2 linked regions of the Anolis sagrei genome follow. The protein of the gene in region 1 purifies or fractionates together with the protein of each later gene. This does not show direct contact. Links are inferred from orthologs where the notes say so. Each region holds a gene or a part of one and is shown in the gene's direction. Other genes may lie near its edges.

Evidence for each region. Proteins that work in one complex are often made in the same cells at the same time.
Region 2: the proteins of ETV6 (region 1) and LRP6 purify together in Homo sapiens (affinity purification with mass spectrometry; 3 studies listed by BioGRID and IntAct, counting the BioPlex papers as one, with this or other methods). This does not show direct contact. The link is inferred for Anolis sagrei from reciprocal best matches to the Homo sapiens genes ETV6 and LRP6.

Annotation. Positions count from the first base shown.
Region 1 is NC_090025.1:101,567,107-101,570,851, forward strand, and holds the start of ETV6 (transcription factor ETV6), read left to right. Parts: upstream 1-1,518; 5' UTR 1,519-2,362; coding exon 2,363-2,398; intron 2,399-3,745. UniProt on the Homo sapiens protein: Transcriptional repressor; binds to the DNA sequence 5'-CCGGAAGT-3'. Plays a role in hematopoiesis and malignant transformation.
Region 2 is NC_090025.1:101,786,658-101,790,402, reverse strand, and holds the start of LRP6 (low-density lipoprotein receptor-related protein 6), read left to right. Parts: upstream 1-1,128; 5' UTR 1,129-1,960; coding exon 1,961-2,015; intron 2,016-3,745. UniProt on the Homo sapiens protein: Component of the Wnt-Fzd-LRP5-LRP6 complex that triggers beta-catenin signaling through inducing aggregation of receptor-ligand complexes into ribosome-sized signalosomes.

The DNA of each region.
Region 1 (3,745 bases):
AAACTTATTAGCATTTCAATAGGAAGTGTGGACCTGCTTTTGGCTGATGAGATAGAGTTGTTGCTTTTGTTGTGTGCTTTCAAGTTGTTTCAGAGTTAGGTTGACCCTGAGCAAGGGCTGGGTAAATGACCTTGGAGGGCTGTATCTGGCCCCTGGGCCTTAGTTTGAGGACCCCTGATCTACAGAGACACCTGCTGGAACACCTCAGCAAGCGAGAGTCCAAAAGTGGCAGGCTAAAACCTAGAACCTCAACCGATGGCTGATACCAAATGAGAGACTCCTCTCTGGGCAGGCGTGTAGGCAGGATTTTGATTCGGGGGGGGGGGGGGGGGCTGAGTCTGAGTGAAAGAGAGTCTACCATAGCAAACCTTTTGTATCATTACCCCAATACCCCCATGCATATGGAATATATTGAGCATGGTGATCAGATCATGATATGAATAAACATATCAGTTTAAATAATGTACCAGTAAGGCCTTTTTGCGGACCACCATGAGAATTTCGGGGGGAGGGGGCTGAAGCCCCCAACCCCCCCCCCCCCCGGTTACATGCCTGCCTCTGGTCACAGAAAACTGGGCGACTTGGAAGGCGCCGAACAGACTGCGCTCTGGCACCACAAGATGCAGAGCCAATCTTCAGAAATGGGCTACAAAGTGGAATCCATGACATGCGAGTGTGGAGAGGAACGAACCACAGACCACCTGCTGCAATGCAACCTGAGCACTGCCACATGCACAATGGAGGACCTTCTTGCAGCAACACCAGAGGCACAGTGGGTTAAACCCCTGTGCCGGCAGGACTGAAGACTGACAGGTCGCAGGTTCAAATCCAGGGAGAGGTGGATGAGCTCCCTCTATCAGCTCCAGCTCCTCATTGAGGGGACATGAGAGAAGCCTCCCACAAGGATAAAACATCAAATCATCTGGGTGTCCCCTGGGCAACGTCCTTGCAGACGGCCAATTCTCTTACACCAGAAGCGACTTGCAGTTTCTCAAGTTGCTCCTGACAGGACAAAAAAACAAACCAGAGGCACTCCAAGTGGCCAGCTGCTGGTCAAAGGACATTTAATAGAACACCAAGTCTGCAAATGTTGTGTTTTGTTTGTCTGTTTTTTTTAATGCAATACAACTGTTTTGGTTCACTCCTGACAAGATAAATAAATAAGTTATGCTTGGGGGGGTCCCCACAACATGAGGAACTGTATGAGGAAGGTTGAGAAACATTGTACTCGAGCGAGAGCGCGAGCCGTGCAGAACTCGGGAGCAGCCGTGTCATTATGAAGAGAAGCACACAGTTTTCCCGCTTTTTTTACAGACTCATCAGTGACTCCATTGGCCCCCGCTTTGGGCTTTAACTGCGCGTGCGCGGGAGGCGCCAACGTGTTGCCCCCCCTCCCTCTTTCCTTGCCCCCGCCTCGCTTTGTGTAACCGAAGCCCTCGCTTCCTGGTCGGAACCCCTGAAGGGGGCAGAGCGCGAGCCAGACTCGGCTCGGCGCGAGCAGGCATAGAAGCCCCCTCATTGGCTCGCCTGTTTGCTGTGGCAGGCTGAAGCAATCCCGCCAGCCAGTCTCCCCGTTTCCCTCAGCAGAGGCCTGCCCCACCCCCACTCGGCCTGGAGGAAGCAGCTTCCCCTTTCCTAGTGAGGGGAGAGGGAAGAAGGAAGGGCAGGAAGCGGGAGGAGCGCTGGCTGCGCGCCCTCTCCTCCTTCCTTCCCTCCCTCCCTCCCCCTCCTTCCGCTTTTGTGACTGCCCATTCCCTCCTTCCCCTCCCCCTCTCCTTCCTGTTTCCTCTAAAGATCCCTTGTATTCACTTCCTTGGTTCTTTCTCCCCCTCCTTCCTCTCTCTCTCTCCGTATTTCCTGGTGTGCCTCCGTCCCCTTTAAGAGGCAGAGCTCAGTGCTGGGAACTCACGTCACTTTTTTCCTCAGCCCTGAAACTCTCCCGATCGATGCCCGAAGGCGGAGAGGCGCCTTTCGCTTTCTCTCTGCCGGGAAAGAGGCGCCCTTGTCGCTCCTTCCCTCCATCCAGGGGCCCCGGAAGGCGGGCAGGAGGAGGAGGAAGGGGAGGAAAAGGAAGAGGGGGCCCCCCTCCACCCCCCAAAGGGGCCATGCCCGCCTCGGCTCCGGAGGCCACCGGGCGGAAGGCGCCCCCGCAGGAAAAGCAAGCGCGGGCCCGAGGAAGTGGGGCATAGCTGGCCCGCCCGCGGTGGGCAGGGCAAGGCGGGGAGGCTTCCTTCCGGGAGGAAGAGGAACAGGAAGAGGAAGCCAGCCAGCGCGGGGGAAAAAGAGAGAGAGAGAAAGCCAGCCGAGAACTTCTTTCTTTCTTCCTTCCTCCTGCCTGTGCTTCCTCCTCCTCGGCGGAGACATGTCGGAGGGTCCTCCTGTCCAGTTCTGTATCAAGGTAATATACATTAGATCAGAAGGAAGTTTGAACCGTGGCTTTCTCCCTCCAGCAGATCCTCCCCCCTCCTTTGTCGTATTTCGAGTTAGGAAGTTTCTTGTGCGCCGAGGAGAAGTTTCCCCCTCCTGGGCAGGGAAGCCACCACTTCACCAAACCCAAGCCCTTCTTCTGCAGCTTTGGTGAAGCGTGGGTCAATCTCCCTCCCAAAGACTGCTAATAAACAAACCGTTTCCTGTTGGGAAACAGTGGAACTCCCTGCCGCGGGGCGTGGTGGAGGCTCCCCCTTTGGAGGCTTTTAAGCAGAGTCTGGGTGGCCATCTGTCGGGGTTGTTTTAAATACAATTTTCCTGCTTATTCACCTTGTTGCCTTGTGTTCTATTTTGAAATGGTCATATGACTGATCAAATAAATAATAATAATAATAATTATTATTATTATTATTTTCCTGCTTCTTGGCCGAATGGGGTTGGATTGGCTGGCCCACGAGGTCTCTTCCAATTCTATGATTCTTTGGATGCAACTTTCCTGCTTCTAGGCAGAAGGGGGTTGGACTGGATGGCCCACAAAATCTCTTCCAACTCTATGATTCTTTGAATGCAACTTTCCTACCTCTTGGCCGAAGGGGGTTGGACTGGATGGCCCACGAGGTCTCTTCCAACTCTATGGTTCTATGTTCCCATTGATTGCCTCCCTCCCCTGTTTTGCTCCAAGGCCCCGCCACGAGGCTTTCGAAGTTTCAAAGTTTGAGGTTTATTTTTTAAATATAGGACATGCACTGTAAATATACACACGGCCCCTTCTTTGTATTCAATGTTTGTGATGTTGGCTAGAGGGGGATTTTAAAGCCAAGTTAAAGGGCTGCTATCAACTTGTTTATTTTTTAAAGTATTTTTTATTCAAAGAAGTTATAGTGATACAATAAAAGAGGGGGAACAATATAAGTGTATAGGAAAGTTGAGAGAAAAAAATATATTAAAAAATTTCCAGAGGGGAAGAAAAAAAAGGGAAGAAAAAAGGAATGTATATAACTTACTAGCTGTCCCCTGCCACACATTGCTGTGGCACCATCTGGTGATCTGGGAAATAAAGTAATGAGAAAGTGTTGGTTTCTGATATATGTAATTTCTTTATGCTTGTGGGTAAAAAGTATTTTTTTTTTTTGCTGTTTCTTTGTCAGTATTGATGTGGAGATTTGTCTGGTTTGCCTACTCTGGAACATGCAACATATCATTGTCCTTCTTTAGGGGGTCCCTTTCAAATCTAGACTATATCTGTGTGTGTGTGAATCATATCTATGGCTAGATGGCTCTTTGTCAGGAGGGCTTTGATTATGTTTTCTTGCCCAGG
Region 2 (3,745 bases), about 220 kb from region 1:
TTGGTGGAGTTCAGAATGCTCTTTGATTGTAGGTGAACTATACATCCCAGTAACTACACTTGCCGCATTTGCTCCCTTGCCTGGCCTGCTTTGGGTCCAGAGGCGTGCCTGAAGACCCGTCGTGTGCACCAAAAGTCACCTCTTCTCCTGACTTTCTCCTCAGCCATTGGGACCAAGAGAGAGAGAGAGAGAGAGAGAGAGGTGGAGAATGCCACCTTTCCTGAAGGTAGGAGCAAAAACAAAGGAGGGAGCAGAGGTGGGAGATACCTCCAGCCGGAGGGGCTCTCTCTCTCTCTCTCTCGGTCCCAATGGCTGAAGAGAAAGTCAGGAGAAGAGGCAACTTTTGGTGTGCACGCTGGGGTCTTCAGACATGCCTCCGGACCCGAAGCAGGCCAGGTGCGGCGGCTCCGCCCCTTGGCCTACCCGAAGATTGGGGAGAGGAGAGGAGACGGGTGGAGTGCCGGGGGATTGGGAAAGGGAGCCGGTCATGGGGAAGGGAACGAACGCGGAGAATGATTGAGCGCCGGCTCTGCTCACGCACCCGGTGGCCGGGTGGAGCAGGAACGAGAGGGGCTAGGCGAGGCTCAAGGGCCTGGCCCCTTTGGGAAGAGGATTGCCCGGCAGCGAAGCAAGAAAGCCGAGGCTCCCCCCGGACTGCTAGGGCTGTTGTGAGCTGAGGGGGTGCTCCTCAAGTGGCAGTCGAGGGGCATTTACAGAGGCGCCTCTGCGCCCCTGGCAAAAAAAAGTGTTCTGCGACCGCTTACTTCGCGTAATGGACGAGCCGCCCCTGTCAGCAGCAGAGTAGCATAGCGTAAGGGCAGATGTCTTCACTGTGTCTGGTTGTGATCCCCAGGTTGTGCCAGTCAGCTTTCCTATGATGTTGTTTCTAGCGCCCACTTTTTGCTTCATGATAATCTGAGGCAAACAGGAAACCTAGAATCAGATGCTTGAATATAGGGCCTGTCTGGAAGGACCCAAGTTGTGTGAGGTAACCACCCGCTGCCAAGGCCTGCCCGCCTATCTCCACCACAGCCCGGCCAATGCTCTCCTGGCGAGTGCGCGAGGAAAAGGCCCGCCTCCCTCCCTCTGTCCCTCCCTCCCTCCCTCCCTGGGCGCTCCTGGCGGAGGGATCCTCGTCGTCCTGCCTCCTGGAGCCGCGCGTCGTTCACCTGGGCGGCGCGGCGGATGTGTCCCAGCCTCCTCGCCTCCCCCTCCCCCTCCTCTTTTGTGCTGCTGGTTCTGCGGCTCTCGCGGTGTCCCTGGAAGTAGTTCCGACACTCCCTTCCCAGGTCCAGGGTGCTACGCTGCCGGAGCCTCATCACTTTGTGTGATTATTTTATCCATTTTCCTCAAGCCGAGAGACGTCAAGAAGTCCCTGAGGAATGCGGCAGGGCTAGCGGATTGCCAGGAGGACTGAAGCGGCTGAGAGAAAGCAGGCCGGAGAAAGAAAGGGCCCGGGCGAGCAAAGGCCGACGTGAATGCCTTTGCCGTAGGAGCTGGAGGAGGAAAGAAGGAAGGGAGATTGTGCCTTCGGAAAACCCAGGCGAGGCTGCAGGCATGCGTAGTTCCTGCGCGCGGCCTCCCTCCCGGGCTTCCAAAGGGAAGGGGGATCGAGGCTGCCTGGACTGAGGGAGGCCGCGGCGCGCGACGGAGTGAGTGCGCGAGCGAGTGCGCGAGGGAGGCCTCCTTTGGCGCGAGGCGGGGGCCATGGGGGCGCGCGCCTGCCCTCCCGCCGCCCCTTCCCCGGCCGCCGAGTAGTGTTTGTTCCGGGAAGAGAAGACAGACAAAGGCGGGAGGGGAAGACCCTTCCCCGGCTGAGGCCTCTCCAAGCAATTGTTTCGGCGCCGCTCCGTTTCTGCCCCTCCGAAAGCATGAGAGGGCGGCCGAGGAGGTGTCGCTCTCCTCCTCCTCCCCCTCCGCCACCTTCGCCTCCCCGCCGGTGAGAGCCAGAGGAGGGAAGATGGGCGCCGTGCTGAGGAGCCTCCTCGTCTGCGGTTTGTGTTCCCTGGCGAGAGGTGAGAGCCAAGGAGGGAGGCGGGCGGGCAGGCAGGCAGGCCGAAAGTTGGGCCTTGTGGGGAATCAAGGCGGCTCTCCTCCCTAGGAGTTGTGTGTGTCTACTCAAGGCAGGGACACCTCTGAGGGGCGAGAGGGAAAGGCCTGGCTGCTGGAAGGGGGCGGGGATCCTGCCTTCATCCGTGGATATGTGTTGGTTCTGGGCCTTTCTCTCAGGCCCCCCTCTACACTGGCCTTCAGACTCAGGGCCCTTCCACACACAGCCCTATATCCCAGAATATCATGGCTGAAAATCCCACATGACCTGAGTGTGGACTCAGGGCCCTTCCACACAGCCATAGAACCCAGAATATCGAGGCAGGAAATCCCACAAAGTGTGGATTCAGGGCCCTTCCACACAGCCACAGAACCCATAATATCAAGGCAGAATATCGCACATTACCTGAGTGTGGACTCAGGGTCCTTCCACACAGCCATAGAACCCTGAATATCAAGGCAGGAAATCCCACAGTGTCTGAGTGTGGACTCAAGGTCCTTCCACACAACCACAGAACCCAGAATATCAAGGCAGAAAATCCCAAATTATCTGAGTGTGGATTCAGGGCCCTTCCACACAACCATAGAACCCAGAATATCAAGGTAGGAAATCCCACATTATCTGAGTGTGGACTCCAGGCCCTTCCACACAACCACAGAACCCAGATTATCAAGGCAGAAAATCCCGCATTATCTGAGTGTGGACTCAGATAACCCAATTAAAAACAGATATTGTGGGATTTTCTGCCTTGATCTTCTGGGATATAGGGTTTGTGGAAGAGCGCTGTCATTGTGGACTCATAATCCAGTTTAAAGCAGAAAACCTGGGATCATATCCTGAGATATAAAGCCTATCTGGAAGGGCTCTGGGTTATTTGGCTGTGTAGAATGGCCCTACACTGCAATATTTGATTTGAACTGCATTATATGGCAGTGTAGAAGAGGCCTTGCTAAATAATTCTCCATTTCCTGAATTTGAGACCAAGCCACACTAGAATTCACACAAATAACTATCGTTTAGATGAGACTGAAAGTTGTATATAAACAAATAAGCAAATGCTTGGTTGTGGGTGTGCGGATTGAATTGCATGGGGACTGAGCTCCACATAATCTCTCCCTAATTTCGGGGTCCTTCCACACAGCCATTTAACCCAGAATATCAAGAGAGATACTCCACAGTGGCTCCTTCCACACAGCTCTATAAAATCCCACATTGTCTGCTTTGAACTGGATTATATGGCAGTCTTGACTCAGATAATCCAGTTCAAAGCAGATATTGTGGATTATATGACTTGATATTCTGTGTTATGTGGCTTTGTGGAAAGTCCCAATGTCTGCTTTGAACTGGGTGCCCTTCCAGACAGGCCCTATATCCCAGGATCTGATTCCAGATTTTCTGTTTATCCCAGATTATTTGGCAGTGCAGAAAAAGCAGAAAACCTGGGATCAGATCCTGGGATATTGGGGTTGTCTGGAAGGGATCTGGGTTATCTGAGTCCACAATGCCATATAATCCAGTTCAATGTGTATTTTATACAGCTGTGTGAAAGGGGCCTCAGTTGTAATTTTAAGGCCCTTTCTACACTGCCATGTAATCCAGATTATCAAATCAGATAATCCACATTATCTAGATTATATGATTCTACGCTGCCATATATATAATCAGTTCAAAGCAGATAATCTGGATTTTATATGG